Linked DNA regions of Cricetulus griseus. The protein of the gene in region 2 purifies or fractionates together with the protein of the main gene of each other region. This does not show direct contact. Links are inferred from orthologs where the notes say so. Each region holds a gene or a part of one and is shown on either strand. Other genes may lie near its edges.

Evidence for each region.
Region 1: the proteins of Ppp2r5d (region 2) and Ppp2cb purify together in Homo sapiens (affinity purification with mass spectrometry; 8 studies listed by BioGRID and IntAct, counting the BioPlex papers as one, with this or other methods). This does not show direct contact. The link is inferred for Cricetulus griseus from reciprocal best matches to the Homo sapiens genes PPP2R5D and PPP2CB.

The regions. Positions count from the first base shown.
Region 1 is NW_023276807.1:51,184,261-51,199,710, forward strand, and holds the start of Ppp2cb (serine/threonine-protein phosphatase 2A catalytic subunit beta isoform), read right to left. Parts: upstream 7,492-15,450; 5' UTR 7,433-7,491; coding exon 7,331-7,432; intron 1-7,330.
Region 2 is NW_023276806.1:256,114,829-256,130,165, forward strand, and holds the start of Ppp2r5d (serine/threonine-protein phosphatase 2A 56 kDa regulatory subunit delta isoform), read right to left. Parts: upstream 9,891-15,337; 5' UTR 9,755-9,890; coding exon 9,728-9,754; intron 5,129-9,727; coding exon 5,051-5,128; intron 1-5,050. UniProt on the Homo sapiens protein: The B regulatory subunit might modulate substrate selectivity and catalytic activity, and might also direct the localization of the catalytic enzyme to a particular subcellular compartment.

The DNA.
Region 1 (15,450 bases), on a different chromosome or scaffold from region 2:
TTAAAAGGAATGACATACTGATACATGCTATAAAGATAAACCTCGAACTACTGAATTGTACATTTGGAAGAACTTTTTTTGTTTGTTTTGTTTTGTTTTTGGAGACAGGGTTTCTCTGTGGCTTTGGAGCCTGTCCTGGAACTAGCTCTTGTAGACCAGACTGGTCTCGAACTCACAGAGATCCGCCTGCCTCTGCCTCCCTAGTGCTGGGGTTAACGGCATGCACCACCACCACCCGGCGGAAGAAGTAATTTTTAAAGAATGAAGATTACATTTCAATATTTAAAAATTGAGGAAAAACTTCTGAAACTCAATGTGAAACACGGCTGCAACGGGAAAGGTCAGAAAACTAGCAAATCTCAATTCTATTCAATTATCTTTCTCAAATAGAAGCAGTTCTTTCTCATTTGGCATAATTCTTTTTTGTTTTGTTTGAGACAGGGTTTCTGTGTCCAGGAACTCTGCTCTGTAGACCAGGCTGGCCTCAAACAAGAAATCTGCCTACCTCTGCCTCCCGAGTTCTGGGACTAAAGGTGTGAACCACATGTCCCATTCATCTGTCACAATTCTAATACATGTATTGCCATATCCATGGTTACCAATTAGGCCTTCAACAACATGGTTTGAATGTCAGTTACCAGGACCAGTGGGTAACAGATAAGAAAAAGTGCTTGCCGTCAATTTGATGACCTGAGTTCTACTCCTAAGACTCATATGGTAAGAGAGCACTGACTCCCACTTAGTGACACACATTCAAATGCATACACACTATATACATATTTGTGCACATGCACGTGAGCACACACACACACAGTGTATGTGTGTGTGTGTGTGTGTAAACACAGTACTGCAGTATTCTTGTGTGAACACAGGTGAGTGTGGAGGCCAGAGATTGACACCAGGCGTCCTCTATTGTTCTCAGTTTTTCAGACAAGGTTTCTCACTGAACCTGGAGCCCACATATCAGGCTAGATGGGCTGGCCAGGCAAACTCCTAGGATTCTATCTTCAGCACCCCCATGTCTGGCTTTTACATAGGTATTAGAGTCTAAACTCAGACCCTCATGACAAGTACTTTGCTCACTGACCCAACTCCCAGCTCCATCAGTATTTTGTGAGCAAATTAAAAAACAATTTTTTACTGCTAGTCTATAAATCATTTGAACAACTACTGTTTCTTTGCTTCTTCTTCTTCTTCTTTTTAAATCATAATTAAAGACAAATGATGTCATTTCATTTGAAGCCTGTGAATGGTCCATGCACAACTGTTACCAAGTTCACAAACCACAATTGTGTTTTCCAAGTATGGCCATGCTCACCACACAGCCCACAGCACTGAAGTGCTTCACGCAAATATATCCATCATCAACATCCACTCTGCCCTACATCTCTCTTCTACCTTGATTGGTCCTAATTTGTATTATTTTCCAATTATAGTAAAAAATTATAATTGTAACTTTAACAACTTCTAGGGAGTTCTTAAGAGTCCTTCCTGTACCTTACTGAATGTTACAGAGAGTATCAAATGTGGAGTGTCTTAAGTTATTGTTACTTAAAAAAAGCTTTTATTTTTGTCTATGTGTGGGTATGTGCATGTGAATGTAGGTGCCTGGGAGGCCCAAGAAGGAGTTGGAGCCTTACTTTGGAACTGAAGTTACAGCGGCTCCTAGCCACCATGTGGTTGCTGGGAACCAAACCTGGGCCCTCTGCAGGGGCAATACAAGCTCTTAACCCACGAGCTACCTCTCCAGCCCTCAATTTTTCTAAACTCTTGAAGTTGGAGTCAGAGAAATGTAATTCTGGGACTTGTGCCCTCTAGCACAAGTAAGTAAATTTTAGGACAGTGATGTTCAAAAACCAAGCCTACGTTTTATCTTACCTCTGTCCTCTAAAAAATCCTTTCATTAAAACAAAAAACAAACCCTGATTTTAATAATTGATGCATTTTGGCTTTTCTGAGACAGGGTTCTCATTAGTTTAGGCTGGCCTTCGACACTCAAGAACTAGGGCTACAGGCCTGCACCATCTGCATGTTTATATAGTCACAAAGTCAATCATATTAAAGATTTTAAAGATGTGGGCAGAGGTCCTTGCCACTAGGCAACCTGAGTTGATCCCAGGGACCCCATGGTGATGTGAGGTGACTCCTGGAAGTTGTCCTGACTTCTCATAGCTACAACATGCATATATATAAATATATATATATATTATATATTATATATATATATATATATTGTGCCCCTACTTCCAAATAAATTTTTTAGAAAAAACAAGGATGCTAGATTATTACAGAAGACAAAAGATACAAACCAAGTCCAACCCTGAGCTCTCTCTTCTTAGAAAGGTAACAATCTATACTATACAGACCTCCTTTCTAAGGTTAGTATGACCAACAATAGACTTGAAAAGTAATGTTCAGGAAAAGGTAACATTTGATCACCAATAGTAATACCAAAAAAAAAAAAAAAAAAAAAAGAATTTCACAAGTTAATTTTTTTTTTTTTAGATTTATCATTTCATGTTTACATTGTTTTGCTTGCATTGTCTGTGTACCACATGTGTGCCTGGTGCCCCAAAGAGGGCAATGGATCTCCTGGGACCAGAGTTACAGACAGTTGTGAGCTGACACGGGGGTTTTGGGAATAAACCCTTGTCCTCTACAATTGCTCTCAACTGCTGAGCCATCTTTCCAGCCCTTAGCTAAGTTATTTTCAATAACCTAGACTAGGTTTGTATTTCATTATTTACTTAAGGAAGTAAAAGAAAGTCAATTCAAAACCCCTCCTTAACATGGATTCGAATTTCTTGTGATTCTAATACTTGTGATTCAGGCATTTGGCTTCATTTACCAAGCCCATCAAACTGGCTTCGTAATGAGCTACCTAGTCTGTTTTGTCCCTGGCACTACATAACCAACCCACAGCAATACTACGCAAAACAAACTGCAAGGAAAAAAAAAAAAAAAAAACCTAAGGGAAAATTTGAACAAAAGTTATACGATGCATATAAAACTATTCAATGAAAATAAACTTTATAATGTTAATATCTTTATCTACCTAGTCATATTTTACACATCACTGATTTTACAAAGTCCACTTTTTTAAAGATTTATTTATTATGTGTACAGTGTTCGGCACCAAATCTCATTTCAGACTGTTGTGAGCCGCCATGTGATTGCTGGGAATTGAACTCAGGAACTTTGGAAGAGCAGGCAGTGCTCTTAACCGCTGAGCCATCTCTCCAGCCCCCCAAAGTCCACTTTCTAGTCACTAGTTTATGCTAGTTAGTCTCATGTTGTTTAATTTCTTCACCTGTCAGTCTAAGCAGGGAGTGGCTTAGATGGGCTGGAAAACTCATCTGCTCAGTCAGCATATAAGCTCATCCTACTGTAGCCATGCCATTCTTTGGTATAGCCAGAAACAGGTTCTACATCCCTGTATTTCAGACTTTATCAATGGACACCAAGGCCGGCATTAACCCTGTTCACATAAAACTCTAAAATGTTTACCACCACAGTGTCTCACACCTATCATCCTAGTGCTCAGGGAGGCAGAAGCAGGTGGAGCCCCCAGAGTCTGAGTCAATCCTGGTGAGTTTCAGGCTAGCCAGAGCTATGTAGTAAGACCCTGACCCCAGTAAAAAATGAAGTAAAATGAACATAGCAGTTATGCCTTTTTGTTTGTCTTTTTTGTTTTTGTTTCTTGAGGCAAGCTTTCACTACGAAGCCTTGGCTGTCCTGAAACTTGCTATATAGCCACTTAGGGTTTTTAGCACTTACAACCACCTTGTTTTTTTGCTTTGGGAGATAAGGTCTGTTCCATGTAGCCTGGCTGTCTTGGAACTCATTACAGAGACCAAGCTGGCCTCTTCTCACAGAAATCCATTTGCCTCTACCTCTACAGTGCTGGAACTAAAGGTGTGTGCCACCACACCCCGTTAAAAGCACATTTATTTTTGTTTAAAGTTGTATCTAGCACAGAGAGTAATGGAGTATCTCAACTGACATGCTCTTTCTACAATGATCTGCTCTTCCACTTTAGAGGTGTGTGCTCTTTCACAGTATGAACTTAAATTTTCAGTGTCCGATTAGGAGGCTTTGAAGCCAAGCTATGAAACACACCATCAATCCAACATAGAGTTCACATGTATTTCTTACACTTTTGGTTGTGAGCCTAGCCTTTAACTGGGAGCTATCTCTCTAGCCCTAGAATTTACACATTACTTCTATACTAGCCTCAGGTTTTCTGATTAAAGATTAAAACAGGTACCTGCCAAAACAGGAAGCAGCTCCCCCCTCTTGCCCCTGGATTATCGTACAAACATTCTTCAGTTATAAAATAAAGCTTAACAGGTCAAAAAAATTTTTTTTACTCTTCCCAAGATGAGAGTTAAATATAGTTGTAGTCACAGAACGTTCTGGCTGGGCCAGCCTGGCTCCTCCAGCACACCATCTTTAAAAGCTGCTGTGCACACTGTCATCGCAGGAAGGAGTTCCAGAAGCTGTATTTCTGCCCACAGAAGAGTCAGACTCACAATTAACTTCAGACTCTGGGCTGCTAATTTAGATGAGCGACAGCCATTCACTTCAGAAGGCAGACACCTTTCTGTGCTGGCCCTATGGAAGCTATTTACCCTCCGACAGTGGGAAGAGCTTGACCGCCATTACCCCATACAGGGCCTTAACAGGACCACTTCAGTTACTTCCATTTCAGACAAGCTCAATTATGATAGGAATTTAATTTCTAGGGGAAAAACCTTTCTTTCTACAGAGTGCTACAGCAAACAAAATATAAAAAAAAGCATATCATTAAAAAAATTTGGTGGGCTAAGCGTGGTGGTGCTCCCCTTTAATCCCAGCACCCAGAAGGCAGAGGCAGGCAGAGTTTGAGGTCAGCCTGGTCTACATAAATGTTCCAGGGCAGCTAGGACTACATCCTGAGACCTGCTCTTCATAAAAAGTTAATAACTCTTTTAGCCCGAGAAATGGCTCAGAAGGTAAAGGTACTCGAGGCCCAAACCTGAAGACTTCAGTTCGATCCCCAGGGCTCACATAAGGTGGAAGGAGAGGACCTTCTCCTCACAGTAGGCCTCTGACCCCTCATCCGCCTGCCATGTGCACTACAAACACATTATATACATACACACATGAAAAAACTAAAAGACTAGCCAAAAGGAATTAAAGGTAGGTGATGTGCACGTCTGACTTTCTCCTACATCCTTCCTACAAGACATTCTTGCTCTGGAAAGGTAGAGTATCCACAAGACCAACTGGGAAGTAAAGTTGTTTATTTTATAACATTGCTATAAACCCCAGTAGTTTGTGTGCTGAAGGTAACAGGAAACACGAAGTTTTGGTTAGGGCCACAAAATCTCCTTTCAAGTCCAATCACCAGAAGTCTCAACACATCCATTTTACATTTCTTTCCCAAGTGGAGTGACAACTGAAACGAGCTGAAAAAGCACATAGCCTTTCTCATTCGCTAGTGTTCCCTGAGTGCTCACTTACTGTGGGGCTGCATGAGGAGCCTCTTGAGATCTTCCACCTGAAAGAAGCTAAGTATCATCCCTGCCTTAGATAGGCATCGGGTGTACTGAATTCCAACAGGCTGACTGAGACAGGATGGCTCAGCAGGTAAGACCTGTACTCTCTTACAGAGGACCAGAGTTCGGTTAGTTCCCAGGATCCCACCATCACGTGGCTCACCACCAGCCAGTTCCAGGAGATCTGACGCCTCTGAATTCCTCAGACATGAGCACCAAGCACGCAGACACATAATTAAAAATTAATAAACCTTTAAACCTATTACAAAAAGGGACTAGGGACTAAAGAAAACACACCCATCTCCCCCCACACCACAGATGGTGAAAAGGGGCATTAAGAAGCCTCTCCTACAAGCAACTCCATCCTATGCATTAGAGGAGGAAGGAATGGGTGATACTCTGTGAATTAGTGTTCATCTGCAAAGAAAACTCACTCACAGCCTAAGATGTCAGCTTAAATTCACTACATGGTGCTACGAACTGGTAATCCAGATTTTTAGAAGCCAAGGTTAAAAGAAAAACGATTTTTTTAAAAAAGCAGATTCAGAAAGCTTCCTAAGAGTTTAAGACTCAAACGTGACACTTCACAGCAGTGGAACAACCTTCTGCAAGGACGGATCCTAAAATTACTACAAAGTCAAAGGGGAACCCTGAACTGATTCAGCCACCTCTTGCTCTGTACCTTCAGTTTTGGATGTCACAATTACAATAAGGCTGACTGACTCAGCCAATTTCCAAACTGGACAGCTCGGTGACACTAGCTTGAGAGAGATCATCTAAAGGGTTAATTTTGAGAATTATGAAACTATAGGTTATCACACAAGAAAAATAAAAGTTAGCTGAGGCTAGAAGCAAACACTTTCATGGTGGGGGGAACACCATTTTCTCCACAGTTCTACTTGAAGACACTCTCCTGGGCTAAGTATTGAATACAAAAAGGACTTGGACAACACCGAACTCTTGAAAAACACTCCATGGGTTATTGCCCCCCCACCCCTAGTAAAGAGTGTTTATAAATAAGATGGACAAAATTCTTTAGTAGTATCCCGACTTCTAAGAAAAATGTATAGATTCACGCGTGAAATAATTAACTCCTTTACTCTTTTGTGGGACTCTTTAACAGGAAAATACAGGGACGAGATTTAGTCCAAATATAAAAGAGGAATGAAAAAGTAGACTTTAAAAATTCCAGCAATTAATAAATCAGTGGATACAGATTTCTGAAAGCTACGGAAACACGATCAAGAAGGTCTTTTCCCCCCCAATCCATCACCTGCAAGGTCTAAGGATGTGTGTGTGTGTGTGTGTGTGGGCTACTCGCGGTAAAAATGGAAGTAACTTTCTGTAATGTTGGAGCTTATAAATAGCACACATCCCAGTTCTCTTTGCCAGTAAACACGGATTCCAAACTCAACACCTGCTGCCTTCTTCCTGAAAAAGAAACCATCCGTCCCAAGAGCCACTCACCACCAAGACCACAGCCACCACCAGCCTCCACCGAAGTGAGCCCGGCTGAAGGGCCGCCTGCCATCACGCCCACTAGTGTGCAAACAAAAGCTTCATGCACTCCGTGGTTTTCGGAGCCCCCCTCCCCGCCCCCGTCACCCGCGAACAATCCCACGCTAACCAAGTCTCAGTGTTAACGACTTTGAGGAGAGTCGTCCGTGTCTTTAGGAGGCTGCAGCTGCCTGATCTTCGGGGGGGGGGAGAGGTCCCCGCACCCCACTCCGCACTCCAGGCGGGGCCAGGGCCCGTTTCCCCCGCGCGCGCCTCCGCGGCGGGCCGCCTACCTTCTCGCACAGCGTCCGCACTTGGTTCTCGTTCAGCTGCTTACACTCGTTCAGCTGCTCCACCCACTGGTCCAGCTCCTTGGTGAACGCCTTGTCGTCCATGGCGGCGAGCCGCGCGTCCCCGCCGCCTCCCCCGCCGCCGCCGCCGGCCCCCGGCGGGACCACCGAGCCGCGGAGCGCGCAGCCCGCGCCCCGCCCAAGCCCAGCGGGCAGCTGCGGGCCGCGGCCTCCGGGAGCTCCCGCCCCGCCCCGCCCGGCCCGGCCACGCGCCCCGGGGCGCCAAGGGCACACGGCTCGGAGCGCGCAGCGCGGCGCGGCTCGGGGGACGCTCCGGCCCGACCGCGTCCGCCCGCTGCCTCCGCCGCCGCCGCCCGCAGGCCTCTCCGCGCTCTGGCCCGGGTTCTCTCGCTCTTTCTCTTCCCTCCCTCCGGGTTTCCGTCATCGCCCCGGCATTTCCGCCGGGAAAAGGCGAGTGGGCGGGGCCGCCGGGCTCGGCTCACGAGGAGACGAGCAGCGCCCTCGCGCGGCTCGGCGGAGAAACGGTCCTCGGGGGCCCCGGGCCAGCGTCCTTCCCATTCCTCCCTCTGGGAATCCGGTTCTAGCCTTGGACCCCCGTCTGCGCCGGGGAGCTGGGAAGCTTGGGCTTTCCTCTCAACATTTCACAGTCCTAGAACAGGCACTAGATCTGTATCGAGTTAGTTTCTACTCTTAGCACTAATTAGTTGCGAGGCCCCAAATCTCGGACCCTTTCTTGTTTGTTTTTCGAGACAGGGTTTCTCTGTATCACTTTGGAGCCTGTCCTGGAACTAACTCTGAAGACCAGGCTGGCCTCGAACTCACAGGGATTCACCTGCCTCTACCTAAAGGTGTGCACCACCACCGCCCGGAGATAAAATAATGTTTTATAAAAGGATTTATTTATGTCTATGTCGCGTGTGTGCGGGTGCTTAGGGAGATCCGAAGTGGATCTTGGAGCCTCTGCAAGAGTAAACCTTTTAAACTTTTTTGGTTTTTTTGTATGTTTCCATATAGAGTTTCTGTGTATAGCTGTGGCTGTCCTGGAACTCGCTCTGTTGACCAGGCTGGCCTCGGTCTCAGAGATGCTCCTGCCTCTGCTTCCTTAGTGCTGGCATTTAAAGATATATATATATATATATATATTATATATATATATATATATATATATATATATATGGCTAGGCTTAACCCCTTAGCTAGCTAATCTCTCCAACCCATAAAGTGATTTCTAAAGTTATCTGTGGCCATTCCAGCTTGACATTCTTTGCTGTAACTGATACTTTGGTTGTAATTAGTGATTTCTTTATATAGCAGGGGCTAGCCACTGAGACCTTGTAAAACTGTGCTAAATGACCATACTTCCTCTGTCTGAACTGTGTTCAGCCTCTGCTGAACTCAAGTGGCAAACAGCACCCTTTATCACAAGGCGTGTTCCTGAGTAGGTTTTGCCACTTTCTCAGCATGGGGTAACCCCCAAACTACCTCAAGTGGCAGATTTGTCATCACTTGAAATAAACACAATCTTTGTCAGTTGTGTAAATAGAATATTTAATATCATGAGGGGGTCCTTTGTGCCAGGGCACAAGTCTGCAAGTCAGAGAAAAACTTTGTGGAGTGGGTTCTCTCCAGCTTTAGGTGGGGTCTGGGCATCACACTCAGGTTGCAAGGCTTGTACGCAAGCACTCTGACTTTTTTTTTTTTTCTTTTTCTTTCTTTTTTTTTTTTTTTTAGACAAGGTTTCTTGTATTCCAGGCTAGCTATTTGCTCTGTGATTGGGGATGACCTGACCTTGAACTAATGCTCCTGTCTCCACCTCCTACTACACCTGGCTCAAAGCTGAAATGTAAAAAGTGTCTGTTCAGTAGTTCAGCAATATATTAATTTCCTTATTTTAGAGAATGATTGCAGAATTCATCAAAAGGATGTCATCTGAACTGAATCCTAAACTTTCTCTCCAGGAAAAACCCTTTGAAGTTGCCTGAAGAAATGGAGAGAGAGAGAGAGGGAGGGAGGAAGGGAGGAAGGGAGAGAGAGAGAGAGAGAGAGAGAGAGAGAGAGAGAGAGAGAGAGAGAGAGAGAGAGAGAGGGAGGGAGAGAGAGAGAGAGGTCTCTGTTAACAATGATTGCAGTCTCTTAGGAGCTTAGACCACACAGGTTTAAAGGATGAAGGCTTTTCCTAAGCCTGAAAAGCTCAGAGTGAAGTGAGAATTAGTTCCTGAATCTCTGGAGATCAGAAAATGTAGCCTGAGGAGAAATGGGAAAACACAGGTGGAGGCTGTGAGGGAAGGCGGTCCTTGAAAACAAGTGTTTGGAATTGATGTGAGTGGACGTTGGAGGTGAGTAGGAGATATTTCTGTGAAGATATTTCTTCTGAAATGTTTTACTTAGTGCTGTAGAGGAGAAAGTAATGCTGTTCCCCCTCACTTCCCACCCTGAGACAGTTCTGTGTGCCACAAGCTGTATTAGAACTTATGATCCTCCTGCCTCAGCTTTGTGTTTTACGGTTAAGTCCCACTTGTTAAGTGTTGGTACTACTAGGGAATTCAGGGCTCCTTTTAATGGGTTCTTTGTCTTAATAAGATTTTGAAACCCGAAGGAATCTTGGGAACCTGTTTATCAGAATTTGAGAGAAAACAACTGGGCGCATGAAAAGCAGATCTTGGCAATTTTGAGCAGGAGGGAGATGGAGAAGAGGAAGAAGCCTCATGCTCAAGAAAGTAGGCACGTTAAAAAAAAAAAAAAAAAAAGGAGGCACGATCTGCATTGGAGCTAGCTGCAAGGTAGTAGGAGTAGAGGGGGCTTCTGAGAAAAATAAAGTCCAGATGCTCAGGGAAGAAGATAGTCTGTTAAGAAAGGGCAAACATTCCCAAGTTGTGGGGAAAGCTCCAAAGGCACTGGGCCCCAGGGTTGATGAGCTCTTACAAGCCATTAGCATAGCACCCTCTGTTCCCACTTTTGTGCCAATATGGCAGGCTTTTCTCACACTTGCTCAGTGGGTTAGATGGGAAAGGGCTTCCAGTCTTTGCCAACTGGCCTCTTTCAGATGCTAATCTTCATGCGGCTCTTTTCAGTCTCTTTTCACCTCACAGATGCCCTTCTATGCTGTCCAGGCTGCTGAAGTGCCCCTCTTGCCTCAAGGAGTGTTTGGACCACGCTGCACATTATTACATCTAGCAAGCAAAGAGCTTTTTAGAGCACTTTCTACATGCTACATGTTATTCTTCAATAACCCCATGAAGTAAATATTATCCTCCATCTCACAGATGAGGGAAGATTCACAAACTGGTGTACAAGCATGGGATGTGGTATGGTGTTAGCCTAGTGGCAGGAGCACTGTGTTCGGTTTCCCACACCTCACACAGCCCACTGACATATCTGACAAGGGATTGATAACTAGAATAAATAATGAACTAAAAAAAAAGCCCAAATAAATGGGCAAATGATATGGATAGGACATTAATCAAAATGAGTGCAAATAGCCAATAAATTATAACACAATGTTTTTTCACTTTCTTAGAATTATAAATTGCTTTGAAATGTTTCTAGTATTTCACATGCTGTATTATTTTCTTATTAAAACTTTATTGTAAAGAGCTTGCAAAAAAACATTATGCTCAAAGTATCTTGACTTCTTGTAGAATATTAACATTCGTTTATGCTGTGGAACATTTGTTTAATGATGCAAAGATGTATTGCATTGTTTTGTTGCATGTGTTTAACTCCGTGAAGCTGTGTTACTTTGCCTGTCTGAAACACCTGATCTAATAAAGAGCTGAATGGCAAATAGCAAGGCAGGAGAAAGGATAGGCACGGCTGCCAGGCAGACAGAATAAATAGGAGAATTCTAGGAGGAGAGATGAAACGAAAAATGGAGAGGACGACTCCAGGGGCCAGCCAACCACAGAATAAGGGAAAATATAGATACAGAGAAAGGTAAAAGCCCAGATGTGATGATATATTGTTTATGACTTAATAAGCTTGCCTGAAGATCAGATAAGCAAAGCAGCCAGCCAGTAGCTCTATCTTTTTTTTTTTTTTTAATTTTCAAGACAAGAGTTTTCTGTGTAGCACTGGCTGTCCTGGATCTAGCTCTGTAGACCAGGCTGGCCTTGAACTCTCCAAAGACCCACTTGCCTCTGCCTTGTGATACATGTGATCTATGTATCTGTGGGCGGGTATGTGTATATAAGTACAGATGCTGAGGGGCCAGAATGTGCTGATCTGCTGGACCTGGACTACAGGTAACTATGATCTGCCTGACATGGGAATTGAACTCATGATACTCTGCAAGAAGAGTACACTCGGTGCCTATACCATCTTTCCAACCTCTATTGCCAGATTTATTGGTGGTAGAATTTATGAATGGAGGTGGTGTTTCCAAGTTTTAATTTGTATTTCTCTGCTGGCTAAGGACAATGAACACTTCTTAAAAATAGTTATTGGCTGTTTGTGTTTCTACTTTTGAAAACTGTCTATTCAATTCACTAATTCATTTGGCAGCTTTATTTCCTCAGTATTTAATTTCTACAGTTCTGAGTCCTGTATGTTATATCCTTGTCTGAAGTAAAGCTGTACACATTTTTCTTCCATCCAGTGTGTTGTGTGCTCAACTGGGAGGCTCCTCACTTTGCAGCAACATTCTAATTCCCATATCGTCTCATCTGTTCATACTCGGGGCTAGTTCCTGTGCTACTGGTTTTCTGTTCAGAGTTCTTGCCTACCCCAACATCTTGAAGAATGTTCCCTATGTTTTAATGTTTTGTGCTTCAAATTTAGGTCTTTGACCCATTTTGAATTGATTTCTGTACAAAGCAAAAGATATGAATCTAATTTCATTTACTTCTGGTAGAAACCCAGTTTTGCCAGCACCATTTGTTGAATAGGCAGAAGTTTGAGCCAGGGTCAAGAGATTTTGCTCTTGTAGTTTGACCTGCCTGGGTATGTGCTGGGCAGTGGAAGTATTAAGTGTGGGGGTCTTAAGTCTTCTAACTTCACTAGTTAAGAGTGGGTAGGGTTATGAGAGATGTTACAAGTGCTGGGAGCCGTGAGTTCCAAGTCCTCTCACTTCTTTAGTTGGAGTTGGCATGAGTAGGGGTGCCGTGGGTGCAAGAGGAGCTGGAGCCCTCTGACCTCTCCAGGTGGCATGTTCACATGCCATCAGGAGTCTGCTGCTCCCAAACTTTTACCACTACCACTTCTCAAACTATCCTATACAATAGAAAGGAGAGGTGGACTGCCAAATTGGTTCTATGAAGGAAGTATTACCTTATTAACCAAAACCAGATAAAGAACAACAAAAACTACTGACCAATTTCCCTCATGAACAGAGAGGATCTGGGAGGGCGGGGACGGAAAAAAGCATGGTCAGAATATTTTGTATGAATTTTTTTTCAATAAAAACTCTCAACAAAATACTTGCCAATAAACTTATAGAACATATTAAGATCATAAATCACAACCAGGTTGGTTTATCACACTAAAATCAATACATTTTATTTATTTATGTATACAACATTCTGCTTCCATGTATATCTGCACTCCAGAAGAGGGCACCAGATCTCATTACAGATGGTTGTGAGCCATCATGTGGTTGCTGGGAATTGAACTCAGGACCTCTGGAAGAGCAGTCAGTGCTCTCAACCTCTGAGCCATCTCTCCAGCCCCTAAAATCAATACATTTTGTATGCCATATGGAAACTTTGGTTGAGAAAATGCTGCCATCAGATTTGCCTGTGGTGCACTTTCTTGATGATTAATGTAGTAGGGCCTGGTTCACTGTGGCAGCGTGTGTGTGTAAGACAGAGAGACACACACCCACTGGGCGGGTGGTGCTGGGAACCATAAAAAGTAAGAAGAGCAAGTCATGGGAGCAAGCCAGTAAGCAGCACTCCTCCATAGCCTCTGCATCAGCTCCTGCCCTGATTTCCCTTGATAATAGACTACAATTAGTAAACTGAGATAGGCCATTTACTTCCCAAGTTGATTTTGGTCATGGTGCTTTTATCAATAGCAAGAGAGAACCTAACACAACCCTTTTATGATAAAAGATCTAAAAAAATTAGGACTAGTTAGACTACACCTCAGAATAATAACTGTATACAACAGACCTATGGTTAACATTATACTAAATGAAGGAAAATGAGAGCATTTCCTCTAAAATCCAGAACATGACAAGAGTAACTATTCTTTCCACTCTTATTTGTCAGAACAGCAAGACAGAAAAAGATATAAAGGACACAAACACAGGAAAAGATGAAGTCCAATTATCTCCATTTGCAGATGGCATGATTTTACACTTCAAAGACTCTACAGACTCCATTAGAAAACTCTTTAAGTAAACATTTTCATTAGTTTTAGGATACAAAACCAACATACCAGAAAAAGATAATGGTCCACAATATAGGCCAATAACAAATTTTCTGAGGGAAAAAAATAGAAACAAAATCCTATTCACAATAGCTTGAAAAAGAATACAGGGCAAAAACCTAACCAAGGAAGTGAAACCTCTACAATGCAAACTTCCATACAATGAACAAAGAAATTACAGACGATATCAGACAAAGGAAAGACTTTCCATGCTCTTGGATTGACAGAATCCATGTTGTGTAGCAGCTATATTACCAAAGGGATCTACAGAGCCAACATAATAACCATCAAAATTGTGAATTTTTCTTTTTTTGGTTTTTCGAGACAGGGTTTCCCTGTGGTTTGGAGGCTGTCCTGGAACTAGCTCTTGTAGACCAGGCTGGTCTCGAACTCACAGAGATCCGCCTGCCTCTGCCTCCCGAGTGCTGTGATTAAAGGCGTGCATCACCACCGCCCGGCAAAATTTGTGAAATTTATAGAACTGGAAAAAAGCCCAAAAGCTCATATGCAAACACAAGACCATAGAGAGAACCCTGCTGAAAATATCATAGTACTGGACTTCAAATTATATTACAGAGCTGTACTAACAAAGACAGCATGGTCCTGCACAGAGACAGGCATGCAGAACAATGGAATAAAATAGGGGACACAAATAAACCAACCCAGGTATGGAAGATTGCCTTATTAATTGATGTAGGAGGGTCAGCTGTGTATAGCAGGTGGTCCTAGGGTATATAAGGTTAGCAAAGCATGGGTTTGGGAGTGAGTCCGCAAACGTTACTTCATGGTGTTTGCTGCCAGTTCTTGCTCGCGTTCCTGTCCTGACTTCCCTCAATAATGTAACCTGGAAGTGTAAGCCAAATAAATTCTTTGCTTTTAGTCAGAGTGTTTTATCATTTCAACAGAATGAAACTGGAACAGTTGTCCACCATATAACTAGAGGTAAGACTCTATTGGTGAAGATACCACTCGCTTTGGACACAGGACATAGAGAAATCAATCAATCTCAACTGACCAGAAAACTTTCTCAGTTGGCTAGTTTCTGTAGTGCTGAAAAGTGCAATACAAGTTATCGGGGGGGAGAAAATACATTAATGGTCTCATCCATCATTGGATCATACATTCTACAATACCAATTTTCTTGGCAAGGTGTGCCCAGTGGTGCAATAGTGGCCTGGTAGTTAGATATGTAAACAACTCCTTTGTGATAGGACAGTGTAAATCTTATCAAAAGCTAATGACTGGGGAGATCATGCACCTTAGAGGGGAACCTATTATTTTGCTAAATGGTCATGTCACCAAACTGCTTTTTATTTATTTTTTGTTTTGGTTTTTTGAGACAGGGTTTCTCTGTGGCTTTGGAGGCTGTCCTGGAACTAGCTCTTGTAGACCAGGCTGGTCTCGAACTCACAGAGATCTGCCTGCCTCTGCCTCCCGAATGCTGGGATTAAAGGCGTGCGCCACCAAACTGCTTTTTAAACACTTAAAAGTCATAAATTTGTGTTGCTCTCAACTTTCATCAGCTTTTTTTTTAAAGATTTATATATTTATTATGTATGCTGCATATAGGCTTGAACACCAGAACTCATTATAGATGGTTGTGAGCTATCACATGGTTGCTGGGAATTGAACTCAGGACCTCTGGAAGAGCAAGAGTGCTCTTAACCTCTGAGCATCTCTCCAGCCTGAGAAGCTTCTTTTTGCAGTGGCTAGTAGTAATGCTGAGACTCATAACT
Region 2 (15,337 bases):
GTTTTGGTTTTGGCTTTTTTTTTTTTTTTTTTTTTTTTTTTTTTTTTTTTTGAGACAGGGTTTTCTCTGTATAGCTTTGAAGTCTGTCTTAGCATTGAGAGCACCTGCCTCTACCTCCCAGGTGCTGGGATTAAAGGTGTGTGCACCAGTGTTCAGCCTGGTGGGTTGTTTTTATTTTCTTTTGTTTTGAGACAGGATCGCTCTGTGTAGCCCTGGCTGGCCTAGAACACACAATGTAGAGCATGCTAGCCTTGAACTCACAGAGATCTGCCTGCCTCTTGGTCTGGAGTACTTGAATTATTGTTGTGGGTCACCACACCCAGCTCAAATTGGTTTTGAAATAGAGAACTTGGCTGAGGATACAGCTCAGTGGTAAAACATATGCTTTGCTTAAGTGACACCCTGGTTCAGTCCCCAGTACTGCAAAGAGAAAAGGAGAAGACTACAAAACCAAAAAGGTCTGACAACCATGCCGTGGAGCTGAGGCTGGGGAGACAGGGCTGTGTCTTCCTCTCTGCACCCCTGTATCCCTGCATCCAGAACAAGCCAGCAGGTGCTCAAGAATCCATCTTTTCCAAGTCAGACGGAAAAGAGCCTTAAATGCTCTTTAAGGACACAGAGAGTCTCACCTGGCCTCTCAAAGCCCCTTTCTACCCTAGGACCCTCTTTTAGATTCTCTGAGACAGTGCTTCATTTAGCCTATGAATCCCAGCTCTGCCATTTGTTCACAGAGTAATGCCGTTCACTCTGAGCCTCCAGTTCATCTGTAAAATAGGGGTGATCCTAGGGGAATGCAGTGACAGTTAGATATGCATGCAAAGTATTAGTGTCTGGCACAACATATTCGGGTTGAGCAGTGTCCCACCCAAATCTGTGTCCACCCTAAATCTTTGAATGTGACTTTCCTGGGAGCGGGGTCTTTACAGATATACGTAATCAAGTGAAAATGAGCATTACTAGGTGGGATAGGATATCCCTAATGATTTGTGGCCCTCTTAGAGGGAGATTCAGAGATGAAGACGAACAGGGAGAGCGCTGTGGGAGGGGAGGGGAGGGGAGGAGCTGAGGTGATCTACAAGACAAGGAGGGCCAAGGACTGTCAAAGGCCACCAGGGAGGCACACAACAAACCTTTCCCTAGAACCTTAGACAGGACTGGGGTGATGGCTCGCACAGTAATGTGCTTGCTATGTAATTGTGGTGAATGGCTTGGGATCCCCAGGACACACATAAAAGCCAGGTGGCATGGCGGCACACCTGCAATCCCCAGAAACCAGAAGCACAGACAGAAGCCCTAGACCGGTGGTTCTCAACCTTCCTAATGCTGCGACCCTTTAGCACAGCTCCTCATGTTCTGGTGACCTCCAACTATAAAATTATTTCATTGCTACTTCGTAACTGTGATTTTGTTACTGTTAAGAATCCTAATGTAAGTCGGGCAGCAGATCTCTGTGAGTTCGAGGCCAGCCTGGTCTCCAGAGCGAGTGCCAGGATAGGCTCCAAAGCTACACAGAGAAACCCTGTCTCGAAAACCAAAAAAAAAAACAAACAAAACAAAAAAAAAAAGAATCCTAATGTAAATATCTGACATGCTGGATATGTGGTATGAGATCCCTGTGAAAGGGTCATTTGAGGGGTAGAGACCCACAGGTTGAAAACCACTGAACGACTGCCCTAGGGCAAGCTGGCTAGTCTGACTCAATATATAAAGGCCACAGAGATTGAAAAAGACATCAAAATAAAGATGAGGAGCAAATGAAGGACATCTGATGTCAGACTCAGACTTCTACACACATGTGCAAACTCAGGCACCTCCACACATATGAACACACATATACACACACTTGCAGACACCACATACACATATATATACAAAAATTAAAAGTAAACTGAAAACATTTTAAATCTAAATAAAAGACACCAATGAGATGGTTCAGAGGGTAAAGGGCACTTGCCACTGTGCCTGATGACCTCAGTTCAATCCCTGAGTCTACATGGTGGATAGAGAACCATCCTCTGACTTCCACTGGTAGAGCTTGGCACACTCACACATACACTAAATAAAAACAAACAAATAAATGTAGTGAGTCAAAATTTGAGACCTGGTCTCAAAAATGTAAACCAGGCTGGTCTTGAACTCACAGAGATCTGCCCCTGCCTTTTCTTTTTCTTTTTTTTTTTTTAAATATTTTATTTATTTACTATGTATTCAACATTCTGCTTCCAGGTATATCTGCACACTAGAAGAGGGCACCAGATATCGTAACGGGTGGTTGGGAGCCACCATGTGGTTGCTGGGAATTGAACTCAGGACCTCTGGAAGAGCAGTCAGTGCTCTTAACCTCTGAGCCATCTCTCCAGCCCCTGCCCCTGCCTTTTCAATTGCTCGGATTAAAGGGAGAACAACCAACCTGTCACAAATTTTTAAATTCTAAATAAAGGAACCTCAGAGGCTGGAAAGATGTCACAGAGGCTCTTGAAGAGGAACCAGAGTTCAGTTCCCGGCACCCACAACAGCAGCTCACAGCAGCTCACTCCAGCCACAGGGATACTACAGGGACACAACACTTCCATCTGGACTCTGCAGGTACCTATATACATGTGCACATAGCCACACACAGAAATTTAAAATAACAACAACAACAACAAAGAGATCCCAGGTCATGTCTTTTTTGTTTGTTTGTTTTTTGTTTTTCAAGACAGGGTTTCTCTGTGGCTTTGGAGGCTGTCCTGGAACTAGCTCTTGTAGACCAGGCTGGCCTCCAACTCACAGAGATCTGCCTACCTCTGCCTCCCGAGTGCTGGGACTAAAGGCCTGTGCCATCACCGCCCAGCTAGGCCATGTCTTTTATGCTACCCTGACTTCAGACTTCTAGCCTCCATAACTGTAGGAAAATTAATTTCAGCTGTTCAAGGCCACCTATATATGGTAATCTGTTTGGCTGCTTTGATAAACCAATACAAAATAACTTCTCAATAAAGTAAATGTTAGCTGCTACAATTATTAGGATTATTTGAAAAATACTTTCTGGCAAGTGCGTAACATAGTTAAGAGTTGGCCAGAGAAGCTCAAAATTCTATACTAGAAAAAGGTGTGCAGGAGAGATGTGGTGAACAGCATTAAAACCATGGTCTCAGGGCCGGAGAGATGGCGATTCAGCAGTGTAGGGCACTGGCAGCTGTTCAGTGGACCCAGGCTTGATGCACGGCACCCACACAGCTGCTCACAACCACCTGCAACTCCTGTTGGGGGACCTAATGCCCCTCTTCTGGCCTCCACGGATACTAGGCATGACCATGGTGCACAGACATACATGTAGGCAAAACATCCATACACATAAAAATAAAATTAAAAAAAACACATAAAAAGAAAAAAAAGACCATGGCCTCCCAACCTGGTCCCCAATTTTCTTGGCATCTGTCTGCCATCCATACAAGAGCACCTTCTGAAAAGTCATGAAGAAAAATTCCTGTCGCTACCTCATATAGATAAGCCCGGGGAAGCTTTTCATAAAATAGAGCCCAGGGTGAATGTGACACCCTCCGTTTCTAGAGATACTAAGACCATGTCCCTGACCTGGAGAAACCACAGCAGCAGACCTTAGTACACTCCTGACTTCATTCCCCATTCAGTGAGTGAGTTCTCACTCATTCACTAGTCCACTCTTCACTCACTACAACATTCAAATGTGGGTGCCCACACTGGGCCAGGCAAGTAAGATCCTCCAGAAGCTCCCATACCAATACACAGTGAGCTCACCAGGAACTGTTTAACTACAGTTGTGAAGTGCAGCCAAGGGACTGAGGGACAAAACAGCAACTCACAGGGAGGGGACCTGGCCATGCCCTGGGGATGGAGGTGAGTGGTCAAGACAGGCTTCTCTAAGCAGATAATAACCAGGGTGCCTAATAACTACAAGAATGTTAGTGAGGAGGGCCTCTAAGTGTTCTTCCTCTCCCTTTAAGTCCTGACTCTGAGTCTCTCTTGGCGTTTTTAATACTGGTCAATAACTCAACTATTTTCCAGTTTCTCTTTAGAAGGGACAGGAACAACAAGTAGCCTGGAAAATCTAAATCAATAGTTAACCAAAACACTTGTCAATCTCCTTTCTCAGGGAAGGCCCAAGACCACCCAGTAACTAAGACTTCTGCTTCCTAACAGTTTAGAGCAGCAAAGAGCAGGAAGGAAAAGGCAGAGAGAATGACAGCAGCTCCCACACATTCACAAGACTGTTCAGCAAACAAAGCACACCACTGACTGTCCCCAGATGTTCAAGGGCATCCCTGAATTTCCCCAAGCCCCTCTACTCTCTGGCTATCTTGTTTGCCTGTTTATTGCTTTATAGCCCTAGATTGCTGAGCTGTGCTGACCTCTGTTCATAACTGTCCTTTGGTCACACTGAGACCAACAGCAGTGGACCCAGCCCTGCACAACTCAGGGACACCAAGTATCCCCAGCCCCTGCCCCACCCAGATCCATACCAAAGTAACTTGTCATCCCATGAAGCATTTGTGGACTTTGCCCCTTTTCTCCAGGACCACAAATCTCCCAGCACCCCCAACCCCTTTTTGAGTCAGGGTCTTGCTATGTCATACAGTCTAGCTCCAAACTTGTGATCATCAACTTCCCAAATGATGAACTTACAGACATGCCTAAATGGACCTCACTTCTTTCCATGGTTTTTACCCCAAGAAAGACATCCTTACAACATACACTTGAACATGCTGGAAATTAAACCCAAGGCCTTAAGCATACTAAGCATGGGACCACTACTGGCCATACCCCCATTCACTGAGAAGGGAGTTACCAACACTAAAAAGTGCAGGCAGAAAACAACTTCCATGAGAATCTAAGGAACTTGAAAGAATTAGAGTACCTATTTGTTCCATACCAGCCAATTCCTGTCCAAAAGTAGTTTAGATTTACTCTCCCATCTAGGCTGTAGAAGCCTTTGCCTGTGTAACTGTCTCCCTCAGACTCTTGCCCCCAGCCATCAAGGAGCTGCAGCTAGCACCTGTACTGGAACCAGGACCATGTGTGTATCTTTTACCTCATCTGCGTTCTCCCCTCCACCATCTTTGCTCGAGCTGCTGGGCTTGGCTGTGCCTTTGGCAAGCTTGGGAGGTTCCTGCAGGGAGAAGATGGAATTAGGGTTAGTAAAGACCAGGAGAAAGGAGAGGCCTTGCCTGAATCTCTAAAATCTTTTTATTTTTTATTTTTTTTAGTAGTGGGGATCAAACCAAGGGCCTTATCTATGCTACCAAACACTCTACCACTGAGCTGTATCTCTGACCACCCCCCCTTCTTTGTTTTAACTACGAACTATCCAGCTGATTCAATTAAAACCTACTGTATCAGCTGGGCATGGTAGTGTAAGCCTTTCTTCCCAGAACTCAGGAGGCAGGAGCAGGTAGATATCTGAGTTCAAGGTCAGCCTGGTCTACAGAGCAAGTTCCTGGGCAGCTAGAGCTACACAGAGAAACCCTGTCTTAAAAAAACCAAAAATAAATTTAAAAAAAATCCTACTATATTGACCGTGGGACACACAAAGGAGACTGAGCCCCTCTAAGGACTTTAGATTCTGGTTAGGAAGCCAACCTCAATGTAATGATTAAGCATGACAGCAGTCTTCATCTGTCTCCTCGCCAGGCTAGTGAATGGGTTAGGGTTAGGAAGCCTCAGTCAGGAAGAACTAAGGTGAGACAGTTTACTGGAATAGCATCTGAGCAGCCTGATCAGAGGTGCCAAAGTCTTCCACGCAGAAACCACCTCTCTCCCCTCAGGGCCATCCAGAAAGACCCAGAGGCTTCTGTTTAGATGTCATGAGCAGCAGCCAAAAGAGAGGGTGCTGTAGGTATTTAACAGGATGCTAACAGTTAGAAGGGTTCTGCCCAAGAGCGCCTCGGGCAACAAACAGTGGCCGAGAGATGGAGGTGAAGTCCTGAATTGTTAACAAACTGTGAGCATCAATCTAAAGGTTCCCTTGGGAACCTGGCAACTGGCTCAGAGCCCTGTCCAGCCATCTCTTCCCATGCTCTGGGCCAAAACAAAAGCAACCACACAGGGACAGGATGGGGAGAATGTGAAAGACTTGAGGATGCAGCTCTGACTGCAAGCTCAACACAAATCAATGCTGTGGTGTCCACTGCAGGCCTTGGGAACTTCCACCCACTTAACAGACCTACGTGGAGTCTTGGCCCCCACAGAACCAAGCTAGTGGGTCTAGTTTGGTCATGAGCATGAGCCTGTGAAGGAGCAACAAGAAATCCTTACTTGTAAAGAGAAATGCAGCCCATTCTAGCAGTGTATTCAAAGGCTCAGCCTAAAGTGCAACAGCTGCAGGAACCGGGATAGTTAACAATAGAAGGGAGAAGGGTGGGGGAGCAAGATGAAGCTTAACCGGCAGAGGGAGGGCTGCCATGTGTACTAAAGACACAATCTATCCTCATGGACCCAGAGGAACAAGAGAAATGGGCTGACACTGACACTGAAAGAGGATAGACTGAGGCCAACAAGGGTGGATTTTCTCACAGTGTCGTAAGGAAACAGATTGCCCAGTGAAGCTGAAAGCTCCCAGGCCTGAGCATCTGAGCAGAGGCTGGGTGACCTCCTCTGAGATGTGTCTCAAAAGGATTCAAGCCTTAGATGAGAGCTGGATTGGAGGACCTTGGAAATCACTTCCAGCTCTGAGAGTCTGCAATTCAACACCAGCCAAGCCCCTCAGCAAGAAGTGTTAAATCAAATGATTGTGACTATGGGGGCAAACGGATCTCAGGGAGAAGAGAGTTCTGTGTGGGCTGGAACAGGGGGGAGGCTTCCCGGGGGTGGAGAGGAAAACCATTCTCAGATGGGGAGTGGCTTGGTGCTGTGCAAGGGGAAGGGGCTTCTTCGGGCTGAGCACTCTCCCCCTGCCTACTCACAGGGCTGGCCACACTGGCTCTTGTCAATTGCTCACAGCAAGTGGTAGAGGAAAAAAAAAAAAAAAAAAGAGGTGCAGCCATGACACCACAGCAAAGTGACTGACAGCACACAACAGACACAAGCCCTCCAACAAAGCTGACCTGTCTTCACGCAAGTCTGGTCTCTACACTTCATCATACGCTGCTTACTTTTCTTGTCCCCTCCACCCACCTTATGGCACTGCACGACGTCTGAGAAACATCTCAGGCAATGTGCCTGATTTCAGCTGCCTTGGTGTGTGGGTGTGAGTGGGTGTAGGGGAACAGGGCCCACAAGCCTGCTGAAGAACAGGTGAAGCACACACACTGTGGCCCGGCCCAGCTGTCACATGATGTGAGGCACTGGGGTTTAAAGCCAGTGCCGTGTTTGAGCTCAACTCTTACCAGTTATTCGAGAATGAGGAGGTAACTAGCCTCTGGTCCTCACTATCCTCACAACAATAGGAGCCACTTCCCTTAGCCCAGTCTGGCACATAAACTCCCAATGCTGGTTAAGTCTATTGTCGTGAATAAGTTAGCAGGAGGGAGCAGGATACTTCATGTAGGAAAATAGAAAGACCCAAATCCAACCTCAGAAGAGAATAGTGCAAATCTCCACAGACTGACTCAGCACCTACCTACTGTGTGCAAGGAGATGCCAAACCTCAACAGTTTAGTGACTACCTCAAGGAGGAAGACAAGACTTGTCTACAATTCATTTGTACCCAGGGCTGAACAGAGAGTCTGTAAATGAAGGCTCAGGCCGACGTCACAGAGGAAACGGTGAAGGATAGCGAGCACTGGGACCACAGAGATAAAGGAGAATGGGGACAGGTGATGATGGATGAGCAATAAGGAGCCTCCACCCACCTGTCTTTGTGCCTTCATCCTGGTACACCCGAGTCACATTGTTATCTCTCTCTCCCCCTCAGAACTTTAAGGAGGCCAGTGTAGGAGATTAATCTCATAAAGGGTTCCATGCCTGCTTCCATGGATCCCAATCCTCCCAACACCCTTTCTCAACCAAATCCCTCATGGCTTATAATCATCCAGTAGGCAAAGGCTTTCTACAGATGGGACAGGATCTGATCCACAGACAAAAAACTACAGACAGATAAGAATCTGACCCATCAGTTTCCAGCTTAGCTATCTTGAATGTGCAGTTTCTATGGATGAATGACCCAAACCATCTTGGCAAACCCACTCCCAAGGACGGGACTGGGTAGGACCCACAACTCTGCTCAGCTCACCACCTTAGAAGTTCAGCACCTAGGATACCATTACCAGCTCTATGCTCTAAATCTCAGTCTCTGAGAAGTTATGGTGACAACCCATAATCAGAGCTACCTGGCAAATCCACGACAGCCCCAGGATAAAGAGTTTGATTGATAAGGTGAGGAGGTAGCACCACAACTCAACTGGGGGACAATGAATGCAATCAACCTCTGGGATCTTCAGGGGAGTGGACCACACTACCAGGCCAGAACCAGCCCCAAGAGAAGGAAAGCTGGGGGAGGCTTATCCCTAGCATCCTGGGATAAGTCTGTACCTCAGAGGAACCACACCTGAGTCAGATCTCAGCAACAGCAGGAAACAAAGGGTAGGGATGAAGGATATAGGTAAAGGCAGTATGCAGACGGAAGAAAATGAAAGAAGGCAACAGCAACCAAGGGCCTGTGGGGCTGGGAGTGTAGCTCAGTGGTACTGCACATGCTTAGCAATTTGCAAGACCCTAGGTTTGATCTCTATGCAAATAAAGAAATGGCTTGTGTAAGGGCATTATGACAAAGTACGAATGTCCAGGGGTGGCTGGGCTGCAGAGTAAGAAAACTAAACAGAACCCGCAGATTCCTGCTTTAATATAACTCAAGAAGGAGAGAAATCCAGCACAGGTGCAAAAAAAAAAAAAAAAAAAAGGAAATGCAAAGGTTATCCTAAGGGATAAGGGGGGGGGGGGAGCCTGTTGGTTTAGGGTGACCATAGAAGCCAGATGATACCAGTTAGGCACTTGCACAGAAGAGCCCTCCAAGTCGGGAGACCTAATATTGCAGCTGGGCCTCCAGCAGGATGTGTGACCTTGGACAAGTCCCTTCTCTTGACTCAGCCTCAGTCTCCTCATCTGTACCACTAGGGACTATAATGCATGTGCTCAAAAGCTGCCTTCCAGCACCGACGTTCTGGGGTTCCATCAACAGAAGGAAGGGCTCAGTCCTGACTTACAAGTTTGTGTGTAAAGGAAGACTCGAGGGAGGGGCCTAGGCCAGATTTGGGCGGAGGAGAGAAAAAGCAGAGCGGTTCTAGGTCAGGGGCTTGTCGTGGAGGGAGAAGGGACTGTGCAGAACTGTGAAGAGGCCGTTTTATAGGCTAGTGAGGAGAGGAGGGAAGGGGCTGCACAGGGCGGGGGTGGGGGTAGTACTGGAGGAAGATGCAGTCTTAGATGAGGGCTGTCCCAAACCCGTGGGGGATCGGGGACAGAGGAAGGCGGGGAGAAAAAGCAAGGGAGTGAGCTGGGAGTGGAGCAGATCTGGAGGGGGCCAGGGGTAGGAGCAAAGAGGAAGGGAAAAGAGATAGGTGGGGGGAATCTGTCCGGGGCAAAGAAGGAGAGCTGTCCCAGCTGCTGCACGGGCTGGGGGTGCTGCCAGACATGCGGCCCAAGGGCTGGCTCCGGGAGTGCTGCGGGGGGCCGGACCGGAGGGTCAGTCTCAGGCTGTCCCGGGCCTGCCTCGGGCCCCTCCCAGAGCTCCACGCAGGCCCCGCGGCGGAGGCGCAAGGGCAAAGGCCACGCTCACCTTATCCTTCTTCAGTTTATAGGGCATCTCGGCCGGTCCACACCCGGCCCGGCTCCTGCGGCCCCGCTCCGGCTCCGGCTCTGCTCGGCCGCACTCGGCCCGCTCGGCGTCTCTTCGCCACCGCCTGCGCGCTGCGCCCGGGCCGAGCGGTGGCTGCGCCTCCAATTGGCCCTAACTCTTACAAACCTGCCTGACAACCAGGCGCCGCCTCCTCGGATTGGTCATTGGAGCCAAGCTGCTTCCCTTTTTTCTCATTGGAAAGAAAGAGTACAAACCGCCAGGGTTCGGCTCCCAGAATTGGCTGGAGGGGAAGGTCCCGCCCTAGAGAGGGTCGGGCTTCGTGAAGAAGGCGGGGCCACGGGGAAACCCGAGCTTGGCTGGCAATGCTGCTCTCCAGCGTCACCTGTGCGTCGTCCTCTGCTATTCTTCATTCCTTGGAGCTCTGCTCCTTCCCTCCAGAAGTGGCTCTCACGTTTTCCCCTGCTCTGCTACCTGCCCTGCCTCGTCCGAACTCTAGGAAAGAGGCCCTAACAGGAAAGGGCACCTTTCTTCTCTTCACAGGAGTTTAAGTAGCTCAAATTGCACACGTCCATTTGATAGAGAAGACTCCCAAGGGTCCTCCTGAGCATTCAGCAAGTCTGTCCTAGTTCACAGCTGCAAGGGAGCAGAGCGGAAGCCTATCCGCGGTGGAATCCGACTGAAATAAAATGAGAACACCTGGTTTGCTGCAGCTTCAAGAAGTGGGTCCCGGTATCTACTGCAAGGATGCCGGCCGGGCTCGGTAAACCAGCTGCATTTGAGCCACTAAGAATGAAGTGGAAAAGTAGCCTCATCTTTCAGTGTCCTAAAAAACCTATCCCGTCCTTACCTGTGCCGCTGCCGCACCCAAGCTGGTGTTCTAGTGGGTAAGACTGGGTTCTTGCCCTCAGGGAGTTCCCACTCTGCCGAGGTACACAGACTTGTATAAGAGATGATTAAAATACAATGCCATAAATTACACAAACCTCAGAGTGGCATGGAGGAATATATTTGTTACCCTAGTAGCCAACCGACTATGTTAAGAAACTGGAGGAGATCCATCAAAAACAAACCCGTGGGAGCCGGGTGTGGTGTCTAACTCCTGTAATCCCAGCACTTGGAAGGTGCAGGAGAATCAGGAGTTACAGACCAGCGTTAGTTATAGCCAGTTTGAGACCAGTTTCAACCACACCAAGACCTTGTCTCAAAACAAAACAACAAAAAACTTACGACTAAAAAGTTAAAATAATAATAATAATAATAATAATAATAGTAATCCTGCTTGTGCCGAATGTAAGAGGCCCTGGCCCTGGATTCCTACAGTAGGGCAAATAAGTAGCCAATGAACCTTACACAGAGAGCAGCGGCCAGAAGAATGGGAAAGGGAGAGGCTAGACAGATGGCTTAGTGGTTAAGGGCACTTGGTGCAGCCGGGTGGTGGTGGCGCACGCCTTTAAACCCAGCACTGGGGAGGCAGAGGCAGGCAGCTTTCTGTGAGTTCGAGACCAGCCTGGACTATAAAAGCTAGTTCCAGGACAACCTCCAAAGCCACAGAGCAACCCTTTCTCGAAAAAACAAACAAACAAACAAAAACCCACTTGGTTCTCTTCCAGAGGACCTGAATCCAGTTCCCAGGATCCATATTAGCTGGTTCGCAGCTGCCTGGAACTCCAGCTCCAGGGGATCTGATATCCTCTTCTAGACTCTGTACCTGCACCACCTGCACACATTCACATAATTTTACATAAATATTTTAATAGAATGGGAAAGAAAGGCTGGAGACAAGGATGGGTGTTTAAGAGTACTTGCTGCTCTTCCAGAGACCCCAAGTTGGGCTCCCATCACCCACATCAACTGGTTCACAGCTGCCTGGAATTCCAGCTCCAGGGGATCTGACACCCTCTTCTGGCTTCCATAGGTACTGCACACAGGTGGCATACACTCACATAGACACATACACATAAATAAAAAATTTAAAAACAAATGAAAAAGATGGTGGGATCAGGAGATGTGTACACTCAACAGGATTTGGAGATTCATTGGACTGGGGGAGAGATGGTATAAGAGAAAGGAGGAGTTAAGGATGACTTTCATAAGTGATAAGAGATGGTCAGAGGAAACTGGTGTCATAATGACAGAGGTAGTAAGGATTGGCCAGAGGCAGACAGAGTATGATGAATACTGAATAGTAACACCTTTTTTTTGCAATTAGGAGGTGTCTGGTGATTTTTGCCAGGGAAGCTTCAGAGGAGTAGAAGTTTATAGTGGGCTGAAGAGTGAGCATGAGGTAAAGACAGCAAATGTAGCATCCTGGCTCTCATACAGAAATGGCATTAGCTTTATGACTAACAATGAGTTCAAGGCAACACACAGTGAATGGCATTTCTACTATTATTTGCAAGCAACCAGCCTGGGAGGGAAAGATGGTTATTTGTGGGTGGACATTTGTGCCTGTATGAGTGTAACTGAGGCAGGACAGCAATCTCCTGCCTATACCCAAAACCTCATGATGCAGAAAGCTTGTCTGTGACTGTGTCCTCTTTAAACCTACAGTCCTTGGTTCCTTCAGGAAGCCGGGGACAGAGACATACATTTAGGCTGAAAATGAAAATTTTCATCTGTGTAAATCCAAGTCCCAGCACCTTATTTTTTGTAGTTCTTGCTACAGGGTCTTGCTGTGTACCTCAGGCTGGCCTTGGACTTGAAATTCTCTTTCCTCAGCCTCTGAAGAACTGGGTTCAGAGATGAGCAGAACCATGTGCAGTCCTAGTCCCTTTGTGTACACCATTTTGCAATTTGAAATGAGAGACTGGGAGCGCAGCTCAGTAGGTAAAGTGCTTGTCAGGCATGTGTGAGGCCCTGGAGCCAATCCCCATGTGTATGCAAGCACCAGTTCAGCCAGGCATGATGGTGCACAGCTATAACTCTCACACTCAAGAGGCTGAGGAGAGATCACCATGATGGTACATGTCTTTAATCCCAGCACTCAGGAGGCAGAGATAGGAAGATCTCTGTGATTGAGGCCTGTCTAGTATACAGGTTGAGTTCCAGGACAGCCAGCACTGTTACACAGAGAACCCTTGTCTCAAAAAACTGAAAGAAGAGAAATCCAGGCATGGTAGAGCACTTATAATTTCAGTACTTGAGACATGGAGGAGGAAGGATCAGGAGTCTAGAGCCAATCTTGGCTACATAGTGAGTTCAAGACCAGCCCTCAAGAACTGAGAAGCAAGGGCTGTGAAGATGGTGAAATCATTTTCATCATCAGTGTTTGCTGCAAAAGCATGAGAACACGAGTTCAATACTCAAGAGGCCACCCCTAGCATCCATGTGAAAACACTGGGATTTGGTGTCACTCATCAGTAATCCCTGCACTGACCCAGGTAGAAACGAATGGATTCCTCGTGTTTGCTGGCCAGCCAGTCCAGCCAAATTAATTAGCTCTAGGTACAGTGTGAAACCCTGCCTCAAAACAGTATTGTGGAGAGCAATTTCAGAAGACACGTGTTCCATAACAGCATCTTCCCAAAATAAAACATTCCATTGTTGCTGGGTGGTAATGGTACACACCTTTAATCCTAGCACTTGGAAGGCAGAGGCAGGCAGATATCTGTGTCCAGAGAGCCATCTTGCAGGAAGCTCCTTAAGCAGGAAGATAAACAACTCAAAATACTTCAGGAAGTCCCTGAAACTGGCAAGATTCACTAGGCCCCCTCCCTGCCAGAGTAAGCAGTAAAGTGTGATTGTCCCTCTCAGAGAACTGAAGCCAAGTTGCAAAGAAACAGAAACCAGCCAAACCACCTAGAAAAAGTTTGGACCACATGAGGCACCTGCAAAGGATACTCTCCAACCTGATGAGCTGCCTACAGGCTGTGTAGTGTGTTCCAGGTTCCCAGTCCTGTGAGTTGCAACCTACGCTGGGGGTGGGCTTTGGTGATGCAGCTGTCTTTGAGTCATTTCTGCTCGTGTGAATTCACCAAGCTGGAGTTTGTTGGTATCTGTGCTTTGGCTGTTGTGGGATCCCTATCTGGGGTAAGAAGACATGAGTTGCATCTCCCCAGAAGAAGTTTTGTCACCCAACAACCTGAACTTAACATCTGGCCTCCACATGAATGTTGACATATATGCATAAATAAGATTACACCTGTGCACATGGTACACATGTGTACATGGACACATGAACATACAAAGAGACCATGTGAAAGACCCCTGTCCCTTAGCCCTTTCTTTCTCAAGTTTGTCTCCTCTTCCTCCTGTTGGCGGCTTCCCCGATCCCCACCCCCGGCGGCCTTCCCCCGCCACCCGCCGCATGCCCGGCCCGAGAACAAACACCAGGTGGGCCGGCCCGAGAACAAGCACCGGGTGGGCCGGCACGGGAGCGAGCACCGGGTGGGCCGGCACGAGGGCGAGCACCAGGTGGGTCGGCACGAACACCAAGTGAGCTGGCCTGGAGCCCTACCCCTGAGCCCCCGCCCGAAGAGAAACACTCCGTCCCAAGGTCTCCGCCCCCAAGGTCAGCCATCAGGAAGGGGGGGGGGATTGAGTCTGCTGTACCAGACACCAGACACCAGACCTTGAGAATATGCTGATCTGGAATGGCTCTGTGTCTCATTTGAACCATCCAATAGAAATGATTCTGTATTTCGCCTCATTTGAAAGACTCTATGTTTCACCTCATTTGAATAACCCTGTATAGCGCCTCATATACATTGACCAATGGGAATAGCTCTGTATAATGCCTCATTAGAATTATCCAATAGAATCCCTGCTCCTAGCTTGCGCCTTTTTCCCTATATAAGGACCCCTTTCCCTTGGCTCGGCGCGCTTAGCCACACAGAAGCTAAGTCGCCCCGGGTACCCGCGTCTCCAATAAAGCCTCTTGTTTTTTGCATCCAGTTCGTGGCCTCGCTGATTCCTGGGTGTGGGTCTCCCTCTACGAAAGTACCTCTTCGGGGGTCTTTCACATGGACAATTCCATCTGAGGCAAGTTCTCATGTATCCTAGGCTGGCTTCAAATTCACTATGTAACTGTTGCTTCTACCTATCAAATGCTAGGAAGACAGGAGTGTATCACCACACCTGGTTTCAAAACCAGGGCCTCACCGTTGCCAGACAAGCCCCTCTGCCACCTGAGTTACATCCCCAGCCCAGTTCCAGGTAATTCCAGGAACTATAATCAGAAATTTAAATATTTTCTCATCTTTCTGGGGATAAAGACACCTTAATACATGTAATTGAATTCTAATATTCAACTTTCAGATGTCTGACGTTCAGATTTTTCAAGAGTGTACACTACATAAAACAGAAGGACTATCTCAAGAAGCTCAACTGCAATAAAAAGGAGAAAGGCCAACAATCGCTGGAAGAAAATACAAGATTCAGAAAAAGGCGATCGCCACCATCCAAAATATTGACTAAATGTAAGGAAGCAAAAACTCGGTAACTGTGAACTGGAAATGTGACTTATCCCTGAATGTCATGGAGCAGTAGAGCGCAGACAAAGATGAAATCTAAGTCACAGTACAGGCTGTTGGCTCAGTTCCCATCACAGAAGCCTCTAGCCCTTTCCTTTCCCTTCTCTGGGGTAGAAAC